Macaca fascicularis: one gene and its partner. The protein of the gene in region 2 purifies or fractionates together with the protein of the main gene of each other region. This does not show direct contact. Links are inferred from orthologs where the notes say so. Each region holds a gene or a part of one and is shown on either strand. Other genes may lie near its edges.

The links. The genes of interacting proteins can lie anywhere in the genome.
Region 1: the proteins of NDUFS3 (region 2) and UQCRC2 fractionate together in Homo sapiens (co-fractionation; 3 studies listed by BioGRID and IntAct, with this or other methods). This does not show direct contact. The link is inferred for Macaca fascicularis from reciprocal best matches to the Homo sapiens genes NDUFS3 and UQCRC2.

What each region holds. Positions count from the first base shown.
Region 1 is NC_088394.1:20,931,688-20,939,644, forward strand, and holds the start of UQCRC2 (cytochrome b-c1 complex subunit 2, mitochondrial), read left to right. Parts: upstream 1-3,048; 5' UTR 3,049-3,123; coding exon 3,124-3,156; intron 3,157-6,963; coding exon 6,964-7,047; intron 7,048-7,145; coding exon 7,146-7,295; intron 7,296-7,957. UniProt on the Homo sapiens protein: Component of the ubiquinol-cytochrome c oxidoreductase, a multisubunit transmembrane complex that is part of the mitochondrial electron transport chain which drives oxidative phosphorylation.
Region 2 is NC_088388.1:18,257,238-18,265,041, forward strand, and holds the start of NDUFS3 (NADH dehydrogenase [ubiquinone] iron-sulfur protein 3, mitochondrial), read right to left. Parts: upstream 4,351-7,804; 5' UTR 4,333-4,350; coding exon 4,266-4,332; intron 4,157-4,265; coding exon 4,091-4,156; intron 2,966-4,090; coding exon 2,868-2,965; intron 2,656-2,867; coding exon 2,506-2,655; intron 1,395-2,505; coding exon 1,269-1,394; intron 1,135-1,268; coding exon 1,015-1,134; intron 1-1,014. Other genes in the region: KBTBD4 (kelch repeat and BTB domain-containing protein 4), read left to right, coding at 5,337-6,000, 7,414-7,520.

The sequences.
Region 1 (7,957 bases), on a different chromosome or scaffold from region 2:
TTAGAATGAAGACCAATCTGTTCACCTCAAAACATGGAAAAAATATATGTGACCAAAAACAATAATTATAGCATATTATAAATTGATGTGAACTTTCTATTTTCCTTTTTTTTCCCTGAGACAGAGTCTCACTGTGTTGCCTTGGCTAGAGTGCAGTGGCATGATCTCGGTTCACTGCAACTTACACCTCCCAGGTTCAAGCAATTCTCCCTGCCTCAGCCTCCCAAGTATCTAGGATTACAGTGACCCACCACCACACCCGGCTAATTTTTGTATTTTTTTTTTTTTTTTCAGTAGAGACAGGGTTTTGCCATGTTGGCCAGGCTGGTCTTGAACTCCTGACCTCAGGTAATCCACCCACTCAGCCTCCCAAAGTGCTGGGATTACAGGCATGAGCCACCATGCCTGGCCCCGGGAATATTTCATCAGAGATAATACTTGACAGGGTAGGATTCTGAAAGAAATGGGAAGGAAATGCCAACATCGAAATTATGCATTGGAGAGCCATGATTAATGCCTCCAGCCCTAAGATGGCAAGGTAATGTTGTTCCCAAGTATAAACCCACATCACTTTCCTTTGGTGTGTTTTACTCCTACTGTTGCCTCCTTTCCCTTTACATTCTCCCACTCCATGCACAAACACACTCACCATGAGGGCTCAGGGTAGGTAGTTGGGCTCCATGCAGTCAAATTGGACTCCACGTTAACAAAACTAACAATTCGAGCTTTCCAGCAATGAACTCATCTGCTCTTCCATGTCTACTCTTCCTGTCTGCTGGTTTCCACTTCCAGGGCTTTCAATGTGTTCTACACAGAAACCAGTTCAAGGACTGGGTTTTCTTCTGCAATAAAATGCTAGAGCTGTGGCAGAGACCTCCACTGTGAGAGCAGCCATGGAATTGGCTAGGAAGTGACATGATGTGGAAGTGGTAGATGTGTCCACAAGATGGCACTCCTAATTTGTAGTTTAATGCTTAATAGGACCTTTTGCAATGGACAAATGGGATTTTATGATTTATGTAGCTGGTGTCATGAATTATGTTTCAAATCCTGCCACATTTTGAACAATTTATTTTTGCCCCTTTCCAATATTGGGTCATAACCTAAGAATGAAAGGACATTATAAGCAGGGGTGTGTGTGTGTGTGTGTGCACTTGATCGTGGAGACTCGTGTGTTCCTCCTACCTTACCTGAACTGTTGAATGAAGTTACAATGACTGGACTCAGGGTCGCAGCTAACTTGGGAAATGGGATTTTGAAGTACTGGAAACAGCTTTGTATGCCATGTTAATGAACTTGAACTTTATCCTGAAAAACGTGGCTGTCGCAGGTGGCTTGATCACAGCACTGCTTCCCAAATTTCACTCAATGGTACCTGTATAATACATTCTTGATTTTTGCTGTATATCCGTATCATCAAGTTACTTAACGTTTTTACACCAACTTTTATTATTTTATTAATGTACTTAAAGAGGAAATTCACTAGTAGCATTGCTTGTCTTAATCAAAATAAATATATTATTAAAATGGAACAGTGCTAAATAAGATGTACACATGGACATAGAGTGTGGAATGACAGACACTGGAGATTCCGAAAGGTGGAGGGGTGGGAGAGAGGTGACGATGAGAAAGTACTTAATGGGCACCATGTACATTATTTGGGTGATGGGTAAACTAAAAGCCCAGACTTCACCATTACTGCAATATATCCACATAACATAACTGTACTTGCGCCCCTTAAATTTATACAAATTTTTAAAAGGAAAAAAATGGAAGTGTTCATCTATGTACCAACTTAAAATCATCTCATGCACCACTAGTGTTAAGTCTACCACACGTGGGGAAACTGTATGGTATGAATTGGGTTGAGGGTGTCCCCAACAGGCACAGAAATTGGGTTGGTGCCAGGTTTTTAATGCCCGGACCTTAAATCGTTAGACAGCCCGAGTCCGTTGTAGGCCTGGAGCAATTCAGACACAAGGCAAAAAGGACATAAATTTGCCTATGCCTTGTAACGTCTACACCACCAGCCTTTCTGAAACTATTGTGCATACGAAATCATCTCAGGATCTTGTAAAAACACCGATTCGGATCCAGTATGGGACCTGGAGTTTATACATTTCTAATCAACTCCCAAATGATATTGATGCTGATACTGTCGGTTTCCCAACGAAGCAACGTAGCAAGGTACGAAACTCTTAAGTCCCTAAAGGGCAGGGACCACGTCTCCCGCGTTAGCACAGTGCCTGGCCCAAGGCACTTTATGGGTTAACACTCGCTGAGGACCGGAGTGAACGCGCCCCCATATCGTCACGTGACTGCCTTTCTCCAACAGCCGGTTTCGGCTCACATAACACACCTACTGTCCAAAACATTTCTATTTTTCTCACACAAAAACTACAGTTAAGTTTTTATATTCTATGTAGCCCCAGCCTAGGACGTAAGATCCACGAGACCAGAGACCTTGTGATGATTCCCCCAGGTTGCTGACCCTCCCGGTGTGTCCCGGGCCTGCTCTGGGGGACACAGCGGCGAATATGCTGAACAAGGCCCCTGTTTCACGGAGCTAAAGATCCAGTAAGGACTTCACCCAGCAAGAGGCAACTACGCTGGGCTTCGATGCCCAGTACCTCTGCAGAAAGGCGGAATGGCAGGAGTCTCCTAAAGTCCCCAATGTCCAAGGACGCGGAAACCCAGGGCCCCCAGTGCAGGTGTCAGTCCGAGGGGCGCCTGCGCAGTCCCAAGAGAGGCGCGTCCCATTGGACAATCCCGAGCGGAAGAGCCCAAGGTAGCGGGGGGAGTTGTGACGGGCCGCTGCAGACGTACTTAGAAAAGGGGTGCATACTGGGTATTCAGGCCAGGAGAAGAACGCAATAAGCAGTGACGTACATTATCTTCTGCATATTTACTTGGGAAATTGTGTGTCTCCCTATTCTGAGTCTTGGAGGAATTGGACTGGTCCAACCTTCTGCAGGGAGCAGTAGAGCGCGGCAGTATAGAGAGTACCCCTCACGAAGGGGACGTGGGAAAGAGGTGGCGGGGAACGCTGGGAAACTCGCGGCCTCCGCCACCATCTTGCTTTCCTTAATCTGGTAGGACCGTGTGTCAGAACAATCTTGAATCATGAAGCTACTAACCAGAGCCGGGTCCTTCTCGGTGAGCTCAAGTGGCGGGTTTGGGGAAGGGCTGGGGAGCAGTGTGTCGGCAAGGTGATACGAGGCGGAGGTGTCTGGTCTGGGGTCTGGGCCTTGGGATTCGGTCTGCCCTTCAGCTGAACCCTGCGGGCCAAGCGGGCTGCAGACTGGGTCAGGCTTTGGAGGCCCAGCTCATTCTGTGAGCAGAAGAGACCTAACACCGGGAAACCTGAAGAGAGGGGCAGGACGTGAGAGCGGAGTTGAAGCGACTCCCTGGAGAGACTTATGAAGGTCATTCCGGCACTCAAGTGCTGGAGAACGAGACCGCGAAACCCAGAGGGAGGGGGAGGACGGCACAGCCTTAGCCCCCAACCTTCACTTTATCCGCTGCAGCCTCTGCTCCTTGGTTTATCACGGAGCATCAGTTTCCCCAGCGAATAAAAGCAAAAGAAAGGAGCTCGTGCAGATATAACACTTATCACAGTGCCTGGAACGTCATTCATTGTTAGTTACTACGGTGTCTTAGTAGTCTAACGTTGCTTTTCTTGATCGTATGTTAGACGGTTCCTCCAAGACGTCTCCGTCCTCAGAAGCTCCTTCCTTAAGTTTCCCCTTCAAACCTAAATTAAACATAGCTGTCACTTGGGGAAAACTCACACATTAGGGTTATATCACGATGGGGCAGTGGTTATTAAGCGGGGTAACGGGGAACACTTTTTAAAAAAATATATAGCGAGGGACAGTATGCCCCCAGGGAACCGGTGGCGATGTCTGGAGACGTATTTAGTTGCAACAACTTGTCAAGAGGGTGATATTGGCATCGAGAGGCCAGGGACGCTGCTAAACTTACCCCTACAACAAAGAATTATCTAGCCCCAAGTGCCAGTAGTAGTACCTGTGTTGAGAAACCCTCCTAAGATGGAGATGCAAAAGACCAGACCTGGGCATGGAATGTTCTTATGCTTTATGTTTACGTGAATGTGCTGTGGGCTGTACCAATTTAAGCTGTAACTGCATTAACCTTCCTGCTATACCTAGACACACCAGTGATTACCCTTTGAGGGAAGCATGGTTAGATTGGTAAAAGACCCCAAAATGTCCTTCTCCATTCTATTTTACAATAGAAAAAGCTCAGAGAAAACAGTTGGAGAGGCCCAAAGTAAACAAATTGCAGTAAACTTGAAAGCAGTTATTTATGTTTCTAATTTTAGCATTTTATATAGGAGAATAAGCTTGATATATCTTGTTATTAGAACAAAATAAATTAGTAATTGCATGACAGTTACTAGGATAATTTGCTGATTTGAATGGGACGATTAAGAAGCACGTTTACCGGTCTGGCGCGATGGCTCACACCTGTAATCTTAGCCCTTTGGGAGGCGGAGGCAGGCGAATCAGTTGAGATCAGGAGTTCGAAACCAGTCTGGCCAACTTGTTGAAACCCCATCTATACTAAAAATACAAAAAAAAAAAAAAAAAAAAAAAATTAGCCGGGCGTGGTGGCGGAAGCCTCTAATCCCAGCTACTCGGGAGGCTGAGGCAGGAGAATCTCTTGAACCCGGGAGGCAGAGGTTGCGGTGAGCAGAAATCGTGCCACTTGCGCTCTAGGCGACAGAGCGAGACTCCATCTCAAAAAAAAAAAAAATATATATATATATCTCCCCAACAAAGTGTCACTATTTGGGCACATTTGGTTGGAAAACACCTAAAGTCTCACTTGGTAGCGGAACTATAGATTATTCATGTTTGAATTGCTATGCCCGTATACCTTAAAGTTTACTTTTTGGAAAATCATAGGTGAAAATTACAAAGAAGGTTAACTATACCATACCCAGCGAACTAAATTGATGATGATAAAGCAAAGCTAATTGTAATTCATAACTGAAAAGCAGTACTAAAAGCAAATGATAACCAGCAGCCAACCTAGTACAGCACTAGTGCTGGATGTACAACAAAGAGCCTTCTGGACAGCACAGAGTGGAGTCCTTGCAGCCTGTGCGGGGATGTCTGGGAAACTCCAGCGACGTGTTCATTGGGTCTTGGGAGCACCAGGTTTTATTCACTCATCATCTCCTCGGATAACCTCATGAACTTTAGTCATAATCAGAATGATTTTTATGGCATCGTATAACATTTGCCCAAACAAACTGAATAAAATGAGTGCATTTTGGGTCCATTATCTAATATTTAATGGGACCCTTTTACCCTACCAGTAACTGCATTTTATATATTGAGAATCCGCCGTGGATGAAGCCATTGTTAACCTAAGGATGACGTACATGTCATAAATGTTTTATTTAGTCAAAAAAGGTAAGACGTTTGGTTGTGTGGTCTTAATGCAGCACATGAGAGTGAAGATACAATGAAAAATATTGAGGACTTGGAGGAAGTTGCTATATACTTTGTCTTTTGTTTTCTTTTCTTTTGTTTTCTTTTCTTTCGAGTTTTGCTCTTGTTGCCCAGGCTGGACTGCAATGGTGCAATCTTGGCTCACTGCAACCTCCGCCTCCCGGGTTTAAGTGATTCTTCTGCCTCAGCCTCCCCAGTAGTTGGGATTACAGGCGTGCGTCACCATGCCCTGCTAATTTTGTATTTTTAGTAGAGACCGGGTTGCTCCATGTTGGTCAGACTAGTCTCGAACCCCCGACCTCAGGTGACCCGCCCACCTCGGCCTCCCAAAGTGCTGGGATTACAGGTGTGAGCCACCGCGCCCAGCTGCTTTGTCTTTTTAAAGGTTACTAAGACTATTAAGGAGATGAAACCATTTCAGTTGGAAAATAGACTGAAGGGGTGAGATTCATTGGGCAGATAAAAGAAGCAAGAAGCTGAAACCTATAAAAGGTTGTGGAGGCAGGCTGGGTGTGGTGACTCCCACCTGGAATCCTAGCACTTTGGAAGGCCGAGGTGGGTGGATTGCCTGAGCTCAGGAGTTGGAGACCAGCCTGAGCTACATGGTGAAATGCCGTCTCTACTAAAATACAAAAAATTAGCCAGGTGTGGCAGCATGTGCCTGTAATCCCAGCTACTTGGGAGCTACGACAGGAGAATTGCTTGAATCCGGGTGGCGGACATTGCAATGACCCGAGATTGCGCCCTTGCACTCCAGCCTGGCACACAGAGCATGACTTGGTCTCAAAAAAAAAAAAAAAAAAAAAAAAGGTTGTGGATGGGGCGATCTGACACTTTTCCAAAAAATGCCAAAGCTTTAGAGCTACAAAGAATGATGAAACTTTTATAAGGTAACTGAAAGTTAAGAAAATACAGCGATTCTTTACATCATAAACAAATAAGCATCAGGAACTCTATAAATCACTAATAAATAGAGGTTTAAGAATAGCTCGGGTAAACTGGTGGGTTAATAAGTTATGCAGCTAGGCGGGGTGCAGTGGCTCATGCCTGTAATCCCAACACTTTGGGAGGCCAAGGCAGGCGGATCACTTAAGATCAGGAGTTCGAGACCAGCTTGGCCAACACAGTGAAACCCCATCTCTACTAAAAAATACAAAAACAAAAACTAGCTGGACATGATGGCACACACCTGTAGTTCCAGCTACTTGGGAGGCTAAGGCAGGAGAATGGCTTGAACCCAGGAGTTGGAGGTTGCAATGAGCCGAGATTGCACCACTGCACTCCAGCCTTAGTGACAGAGGGACATTCTGTCTCAAAAAAAAAAAAAAAATGTTATGCAGCTAAATCCTCCCATGGAGGTGGTTATTGCTCCTTTTACCCCTGAACACCCTCTGTTGCTTGGGTACCCTAAGGTACCATGCTTTTATATAAAGCACTGTTCTTGTAAGAAATGTGTGTGACCTGTGTTTTTTGTGTTTAGAGATTTTATTCCCTCAAAGTTGCCCCCAAAGTTAAAGCCACAGCTGCGCCTGCAGGAGCACCGCCACAGCCTCAGGACCTTGAGGTTAGTCCCACTAACTTGCTCGCTAGAACCCATACATGCCTTACTCTCTTTGGTAATATGAGGACATTCATTATATCTCTACTTTATTTTAAATACAGTTTACCAAGTTACCAAATGGCTTGGTGATTGCTTCTTTGGAAAACTATGCTCCTCTATCAAGAATTGGTTTGTTCATTAAAGCAGGCAGTAGATATGAGGACTCCAACAATTTAGGAACCACCCATTTGCTGAGACTTGCATCCAGTCTGGTAAGTATCTTCATTACCTCAAGTGTTTGGAAATGCTGTGGTATCTTGGTCCTGTGTAAAAGAAAAACTAAAATCAAAGGCTTTATATTTGCTTCCTTGACCTGCCGTAACAAATTACCACAGACTGGGTAGCTTAAACCAAATAAATTTATCCTGTCACAGTTCTAGAGGCTGGAAGTCAAAGTCAAGGTATCTAAGCCAAGCCAAGATATCAGCAGGGCTGTGATCCCTCTAAAGGTTCTAGGAAGGCACAAATCCTCCCCTGCCTGTTCCTAGCTTCCAGCAGTTGCCCACAACCCTTCACATTCCTTGACCTGCAGCTGCATCACTGCAGTCTCTGCCTTTGTTGTCACATGGGCTTCCTTCTGTCTGTGTCCACATTTCCTCCTAATGAGGATACCATTTATATTAGATTTAGTGCCCACCATAATCCAATATGGTGTCATCTTAAGTACTTAAATCTGCAGAGACCTTATTACCAAATAAAGTAACATGCAAACATTCTGGCTGGACATAAATTTAGGGGGGAACACTGTTTAACCCAGTACAGTCCCTTAATGTAAAATGAGAAACCACAACATATTTGCTGCAGAGAAGCACTAAATTAGTATCCATATGAACATTGATATTAGAGCATAAGAAGTCAGTAAACAAAATTTTAA
Region 2 (7,804 bases):
CATTTGGCATCTTCCCCATCACTGCCTTCCCAGAGAGTCAGGGCAGGGTAAAATAATCCTCTACTTTAGGTTTTAGGGGCAGACTACGTCCTCAAGGCTGCCTTGATCATTAAAATTATCATTACAATAATGGATAGCACTGGCCAGGTGCGGTGGCTCACGCCTGTAATCCCAGCACTTTGAGAGGCTGAGGTGGGCAGATGGCGTGAGCCCAGGAATTTGAGACCAGTCTGGGCAACATGGAGAAACCCCATCTTTACAACAGATACAAAAATTTGCTGGACATGGTGGTGCACGCCTGTAGTCCCAGCTACTCGGAGGACTGAGAGGTGTGAGGATTACTTGAGCCTGGAGGTGGAGACTGCAGTGAGCCGTGATCGCACCACTGCACTGCATCCTGGGTGACAGAGTGAGACCCTGACACACACACACACATAGCATCAATTGAGCCTTTACAATACAGCAGGCTTCATACAGCATTTATTTATTTAGAGATAGGGTCTCACTCTGTCACCCAGGCTGGAGAGCAGTGGCGTGATCTTGGCTCACTGCAACCTCTGCCTCCTAGGCTCAAGTGATCCTCCCACCTCAGCCTCTTGAGCAGCCAGGACCACGGGCATGTACCACCATGCCCCGTTAATTTTTCTATTTTTTTGTAGAGATGAGGTTTCACCATGCTGTCCAGGCTGTTCTCGAACTCCTGGACTCGAGCACTACTCCTGTCTCCCAAAGTGCTGGGATTACAGGCGTGAGCCTACACATACATTATTTAATGCCTGCCACAAATCTATTAGTTAAGTGCTATTATTATTGCCATTTTAAGATGAGAAAGCTGAGTCAGTCAAACCAAGTAACTTGCCCCAAGTTACAAAAATGAAACTAGGATCTGAATCCAGGGCCCATGCTCTTAAACCACCACAATCCACAGACCACATTTCCTGCCATTCCCAGGGATCCCCTGAGTTCCCTGCAAGTCCCTCCCTGAGACTGTTGTCCCAGTTCCAAGGCTCCTACCTCAACGTAGCCAGATAGAGGAAAGTCTTTCCGGAAAGGATGTCCCTCGAAGCCATAATCCGTCAGGATCCTTCTTAGATCAGGGTGGTTAGCAAAGAAGACTCCAAACATGTCCCAGATCTAGGAAAGAGACTCCCTCAAACAGCCAATCCATCAAGACCAACAACAGGGGAAGGGGCTATATGGCATCCCATAGTCTCAACCAGTTCTGTAACTCTGGCCCAGAGGCAGGTCCACCATATCCGGTAACTCACCTCCCTTTCATACCAGTTGGCTGCCTTGAACACAGACATAGCGGACTCAATGGGCGTCAGCTCATCTGTGTAGGTCTTCACACGGATCCGTGAGTTGAAGCGCAGAGACAGCAAGTTGTAGACAATCTAGGGAGAACAGAAGCATCTGGAGGGATGAGATGGGAGTCCCTGGTTGGGAGAGTTCTGCCCTGTGACCCTGCTTTCTATTCTGAACCTCAAATCCTCAAGATTCTCCTATGCTTACAACTACTTCCAAAGGCCCAGGCCACAGCTCTAGCTTAGCATGTCAGCATGCCTGTGTTTGTTCATACTATTCCCTTTGTCAGGAATATTTCCCTGGTCCACCTCACAAGGCTAATTCCTGGTCTCCTGCTCATGTGTTAAGATTCAGCACAAACATTTTCTGTCTTCAAAGAAGCCTCCCAGACAGGGCCAAGTGCCCCTCCTGCTTTCTTAAAGCATCCCCCTAATATCCTTTGTATTATATGTTACTACAGTAAGCTGTTTAGGTGTCTTTCTCCTTCGCTAGAGTGTGGGGGACTCTTGGAGGACAAATACTTCATGTTATTTCTCTCTCCATCCCAGAGTCTAGCAAACAGTAGATAATCAGTAAAATATTAATAGCTAAATGTATTGAAAACTTATTGTGTGCTAACAATTTACTTGAACTATCTCATTGGATCCTCACAACCATTCTATAAGATAGGGGCAGCTTTATATTTATTTTCCAGATAAGAAAATGAAAGCTCAGAAAGATTAAACAAGGGCCAGGCACCGTGGTTCACGCCTGTAATCCCAGCACTTTGGGAACCCAAGGCAGGCAGATCACGAGGTCAGGAAATCGAGACCATCCTGGCCAACATGGTGAAACCCCGTCTCTATTAAAAAAAATACATAAAATTAGCCAGGTGTGGTGGCATGCACCTGTAGTCCCTGCTACTCAGGGGGCTGAGGCAGGGGAATAGCTTGAACCCAGGAAGCGGAGGTTGCAGTGAGCCAAGATCACGCCACTGCACTCCAGCCTGGCGACAGAGCAAGATTCGGTCAAAAAAAAAAGAAAGTTTAAACAAAATATTTGAGTTATCTGAGGTCCCATGGCCGTTTAGTGGCAGAACCAAGATCCAAACTTGAGATCTACTTGACTCTGAAGTCCCAGTTTAACTGCTATGCTCCATTGTTTGTTACAAACTGAAATTAATACCCTTACCCCCAAACCTTCTCAAATCTCCCGACTGACCTCAAAACGGTTCTGCCGAGTTGGGACATCCACTGCTGTCAAGTCAACCAGGGATTTGAACTGTGCATTGGTGTGATCCCTGAGGAAAGTCAGCACTGGGATGATGCCATCAGGATGGATACAGACCTCTAACTCATTGAAGCAGGACACCTGCACACATGGAAGGGAGGGGAGAGGGAACAAAGAGCTACTGAGGGAACAGCTAACTTCAGCTGGAGTCACCTGGCTTAATGCTGAGGGAAAAGTCCAAGGTTGGGATGGAGGAGTCTGTAGTTTCTTTGAAACCAGTCTGCCCACTCCCACATGCTCTGAGAACATGGTTCTTTCTTGGCCCAGACCCAAATAACAGTGGTACGTATTACCTGAACTTGTTGGACATACTTGGGCAAGATTTCAGCCACATACTCTCCAAAAGCTGAGAGCTGCTTGTGGGCCACATCATTCCGTGGTCTGACAGTGGCTGGAAGGAAAAAGCATATTTAACAAAGAAATGGAGAAGGCAAAAGCCAGCCCTGTATCCAGTCTCTTGGGCTTGTAAGGGATGTCAAATCCAGTAAAGGCTCCCTGCAGCACCCTGAGAAAGGGGCATGTGAAAGGTTTCCCTTCCAGGGAATAGAGTGATGAAAACTTGGGGAAAGTGCCACCTTAAGTACACAGTCCTCAGAAAGACTCAATACAGCAGCTGGGGTGTTCACCTCTTCTCAAAATTACTCTACAGTTCTTCCCTCACATTACCTGCATTTCTGCTAAAGCAGTAGTCTCAGTTCTCCTGTCAGACTAAGAGCTGTTTGAGGATGGGAACCAGAACTTTTGCTTCTCTGTAACTTCTTAGCATGTAAGTTTATACCAGGTTCTCAAGATAAGAACTTCAGGGCTTGAGGAGCCCTCACAGACTGTCTCCTTGAAACCTACTTTTTTTTTTTTTTTTTGTATCAATGAGAAAACTGAGGCCAAGAAAAGGGGAAATGCTAGGTCTCCTAACTCCCAGTGCGTGCATCTTGACTGTAACATATGTACATACTCATTCATGCAACCCTAAACCACTGAGCACTCACACATCACAAGCTACGGAATGATGGTTAGGTTTTCCTGCCTCTGGCAGCAGGCAGGCCTACTTTGTCATTCACTAGGTCTCTGACCCTGGGCAGTTTAATTCTTTGGATTGTTTCCTGATCTATAGTAAGAAGAGTAAGATACTACCTACCCCATAAGGCTGTTGTGAGGACGAAATAAGATCATTCACTAAAACGCTTAGCGAGGTGCCAGGCACACATTAAGCACTCAACGTGAGGTACTATTATTACAGGGCTCTAAGGACTAAAGGGCACATTGCTTGCTTTCGAAGAGCTGAGAGTTTAATCAGACAAAAAGGGGACCATTGAAACGGACAAGGGACAATCAGGGCCATAACAGAGAGGCCTAAGGGTACAGGGAGGGCTCGATTCTGCACGCAGGGTGAAGACCACCGCAGTCAGGTCTCCAAGATTTGCCAGGAAGACGCAGGGAAGGGCATCCTAGGGCAAGGACAGGCACCTAGGGGGCCCCGCCGACAGTTCAGGGAAGAGCGCTGCCAGCACATACTCACGGCGCGTGTCGGCCCCGGCGCTCTCCCGCCTCACCGGCAGCAACAGAACTGAGGGTCGCCCAGCCCCTGCACAGGGAGATAAAAGGCACAGACGCGCGGGGTGAGGCCTGAAGAGCTCTCTGCACTGGGCACGCCGCTGCGCCTGACCCCGGTCTCAGCTAGCTGCCCCTCTCACCCCTCGTCAGCGCCGCGGCCCCCACGATTCCACGCCACCACAGCCTAGCTGTCGCTGCCGCCGCCATGTTACCCAGACACAGACTAGGCAGCGGACGGAAAGACAGCAGGAGACGGAGCCCCAAGGGCACGGACCGGAAGCGGAAGTGTGCAGCAGATCTTCTTCCGGGCGGACGTGGAGCCTGAAGCAGAGGTTCCGGGCTCCGGGATGAAAGGAGGGAACGCAGGTGAGAAAGCGAGACAGGCAGGTAGGGAAACCGTAAGGTGAGCGTGGTCCTAGCTCCGTGTGGCAAAGCCTGGAGAGAAGGCGAGGACGCTGAAGAACCAGACGGGTGAGAGGAGGGGAGGGGGCGGGCGTTCTGGGTTCTGCACTACACACCCCTCCCCCGCTCTCAGCCAAGCTTTTGACGAGGGCGGGCGAGCCTGAGTGGGAAGAACGGTTTCCCTGGCGACGGTTTCCCAGGCGACTTCAGGTGGAGCGGGGATATTGCACAGGGCGATGGGCCTCCCAGTGCCCCGGCCTGAGGGCGGCTGGACTTGAGTTCTGGGACGCAGCCTTAGGGAGTCTTTCGAGCGAGCGGGGAAAGTAGCTCAGAAGAGAGCAAATGTGAGACTGACGTATATCCCAGGCTAGGCCTCATATGGAGCGTCTTAACTCCATGCGCGGGGAAGGAGAGGACCTGGCCACTAGGCCAGGGCGGGGGGTCCTTTTTGTCTGACTCTGCTGCCCCGAACTTCACTAGTTTTATGCCCCAGTTATTTGGTTAGTAAGGCTTTTACGGTCACAGGCCTCCCCCAGCCCTTTGCTTTCATATATTGACCTAAATCCCAAGTCTTTTGTTAATATCATGGAACGGAATTATTCCGTGTTTTCTCAGGAAAACACCCAGAGTTGGAACTTTGATTTATTTCATTAGCGGAGTGGTGCCACTGGGGAGAACGAACCCAGGTTTGGTTAAAGGATAGCGTCAGGGACATCATGGACAGGACCAGGACTAAGGCCAATCTGGACCCACTTTGCTGTCACTTCTTCCATTTCCCTCCCTGAGTTGGACAGTTGGATTCACAGATTATGGCTGTGAATTCCGCAAGTTACTCAAGGTGGTGTTGCTTTGCAGACAGCTGGCAGAGAGAGAAGTTGGCTAGCATGGAATCACCAGAGGAGCCTGGAGCATCCATGGATGAGAACTACTTTGTGAACTATACTTTCAAAGATCGGTCACACTCAGGCCGTGTGGCTCAAGGCATCATGAAACTGTGTCTAGAGGAGGAGCTCTTTGCTGATGTCACCATTTCGGTGGAAGGCCGGGAGTTTCAGCTCCATCGGCTGGTCCTCTCAGCTCAGAGCTGCTTCTTCCGATCCATGTTCACTTCTAACCTGAAGGAGGCCCACAACCGGGTGATTGTGCTGCAGGATGTCAGTGAGTCTGTTTTCCAGCTCCTGGTTGATTATATCTACCATGGGACTGTGAAACTTCGAGCTGAGGAGTTGCAGGAAATTTATGAGGTGTCAGACATGTATCAGTTGACATCTCTCTTTGAGGAATGCTCTCGGTTTTTGGCCCGCACAGTGCAAGTGGGAAACTGCCTTCAGGTGATGTGGCTGGCAGATCGGCACAGTGATCCTGAGCTCTATACTGCTGCCAAACACTGTGCCAAGACCCACCTGGCCCAGCTGCAGAATACAGAGGAATTTCTCCACTTGCCTCACCACCTACTCACAGATATCATCTCGGGTAAGTTTAGGGAGGGGACACAGCATACGAAGTTACTTGGCTGTGATGTTCAGTGAATGTTCTAGTTTAGGAGAAAGGAACCCTCATGCTTCCTGGTGTTAATTTACATTATTATTCCTGCATTCTTACTGAGATAACCTGCTAAGAAAGATTGAGTTGAGATTCAGTGTAATTGCTGTCAGAGACACAGTGTGTTAGAGGAAGAAGCCAGGAAAATTAAAGCACAACACTTAACCACACAAAAGTACTGAGGAGTGATTTGTATTATACTCTAATTTCTCCTGTACTTTGGATGTCCCGGTGGGTCTAATTACCTATGTAAATTGGTGATGAGGTAAGATATCTAAGACTAAAAACTTTTTTAGTGATGGGCCAACGTCAGGAAACAATCCTAACCCTGCAAGTGAGATATAACCATACTTAAGGTGTGAGGTTGGCTAGGCACGGTGGCTCACGCCTGTAATCCCAACACTTTGGGAGGCCGAGGTGGGCGGATCACCTGAGGTCAGGAGTTCGAGACCACCCTGGCCAACATAGTGAAATCCCGTCTCCACAAAAAAATACAAAAATTAGCTGGATGTGGTGGTGGGCACCTGTAGTCTCAGCTAATTGGGAAGGCTGAGGCAGGAGAATCACTTGAACCCGGAGGCAGAGGTTGCAGTAAGCCAAGATCATGCCACTGCACTTCAGCTTGGGCAACAGAGCAAGACTCCATCTCAAAAAAAAAAAAATAGTGTGAGCTCTATAGCTTAGTAGGTTGCTTCCGTGGCAGATGGGAGCATATCGAGCCATCCATTTTGATTTAAAAAAGCAAGGCACATATTCTGGTTTTTCTTCAGATTGTCTAAATATTTTGCCTTTTACTAAAGATTTCCATGGAGAGGAACAGTTGTGAGTCTTTACCCAACTTTTTGAGGCCTCATGTAACACGAGACTACTTTAAAAAAAAAAGCAAGGCATGCCAGGCATGATGGCTCATGCCTGTAATCCCAGCATTTTGGGAGGCCAAGGAGGGAGGATCGCTTGATGCCAGGAATTTGAGACCAGCGTGGACAACATAGCGAGACCTTGTCTATACAGAAAATAAGAAAATTAGCCAGGCGTGGTGGTGCACACCTGTAGTCCCAGCTACTTGGGAGGCTGTAGCAGGATTGCTGGAGCCCAGGAGGTTGAGGCTACGGTGATGGTGATTGTGCCATTGCATTCCTGCCTGAGCGACAGGGTGAGACCCTGCCCCCCACCCAAAAAAAAGGCAATTTCAGGTTAATTTCATGTATATGTGTATGTATGCATGGACATATATACACATGCCCAGCAGTAGTCTAATAAAGCAGTTCACATCTTTTAAAGTCCCTTACTCTGAATTTCTCTTTCGGATCGTCATTGACCATGCCTTTCCTCTGGCTCTCACAGATGGAGTTCCATGTTCTCAGAACCCAACAGAGGCAATAGAAGCCTGGATTAACTTTAATAAAGAGGAAAGAGAGGCTTTTGCAGAGTCACTCAGGACAAGCTTGAAGGTAAGGCAAATCTCTTAATTGTTGAGACTGCACACTCTCCATGCATTCTCACCATCAGGTAACCTGGCCTCTTTTTTTTTTTTTTAAGACGATTTTTGCTTTGTCACCCAGGCTGGAGTGCAGTGGCGCAATCTCAGCTCACTGCAACCTCCACTTCCCAGTTTCAGGCGATTCTCCTGCCTCAGCCTCCCAAGTAGCTGGGATTACAGGTGCTGCCACCACGCCTGACTAATTTGTGTATTTTTTAGTAGAGATGGGGTTTCACCACATTGGCCAGGCTGGTC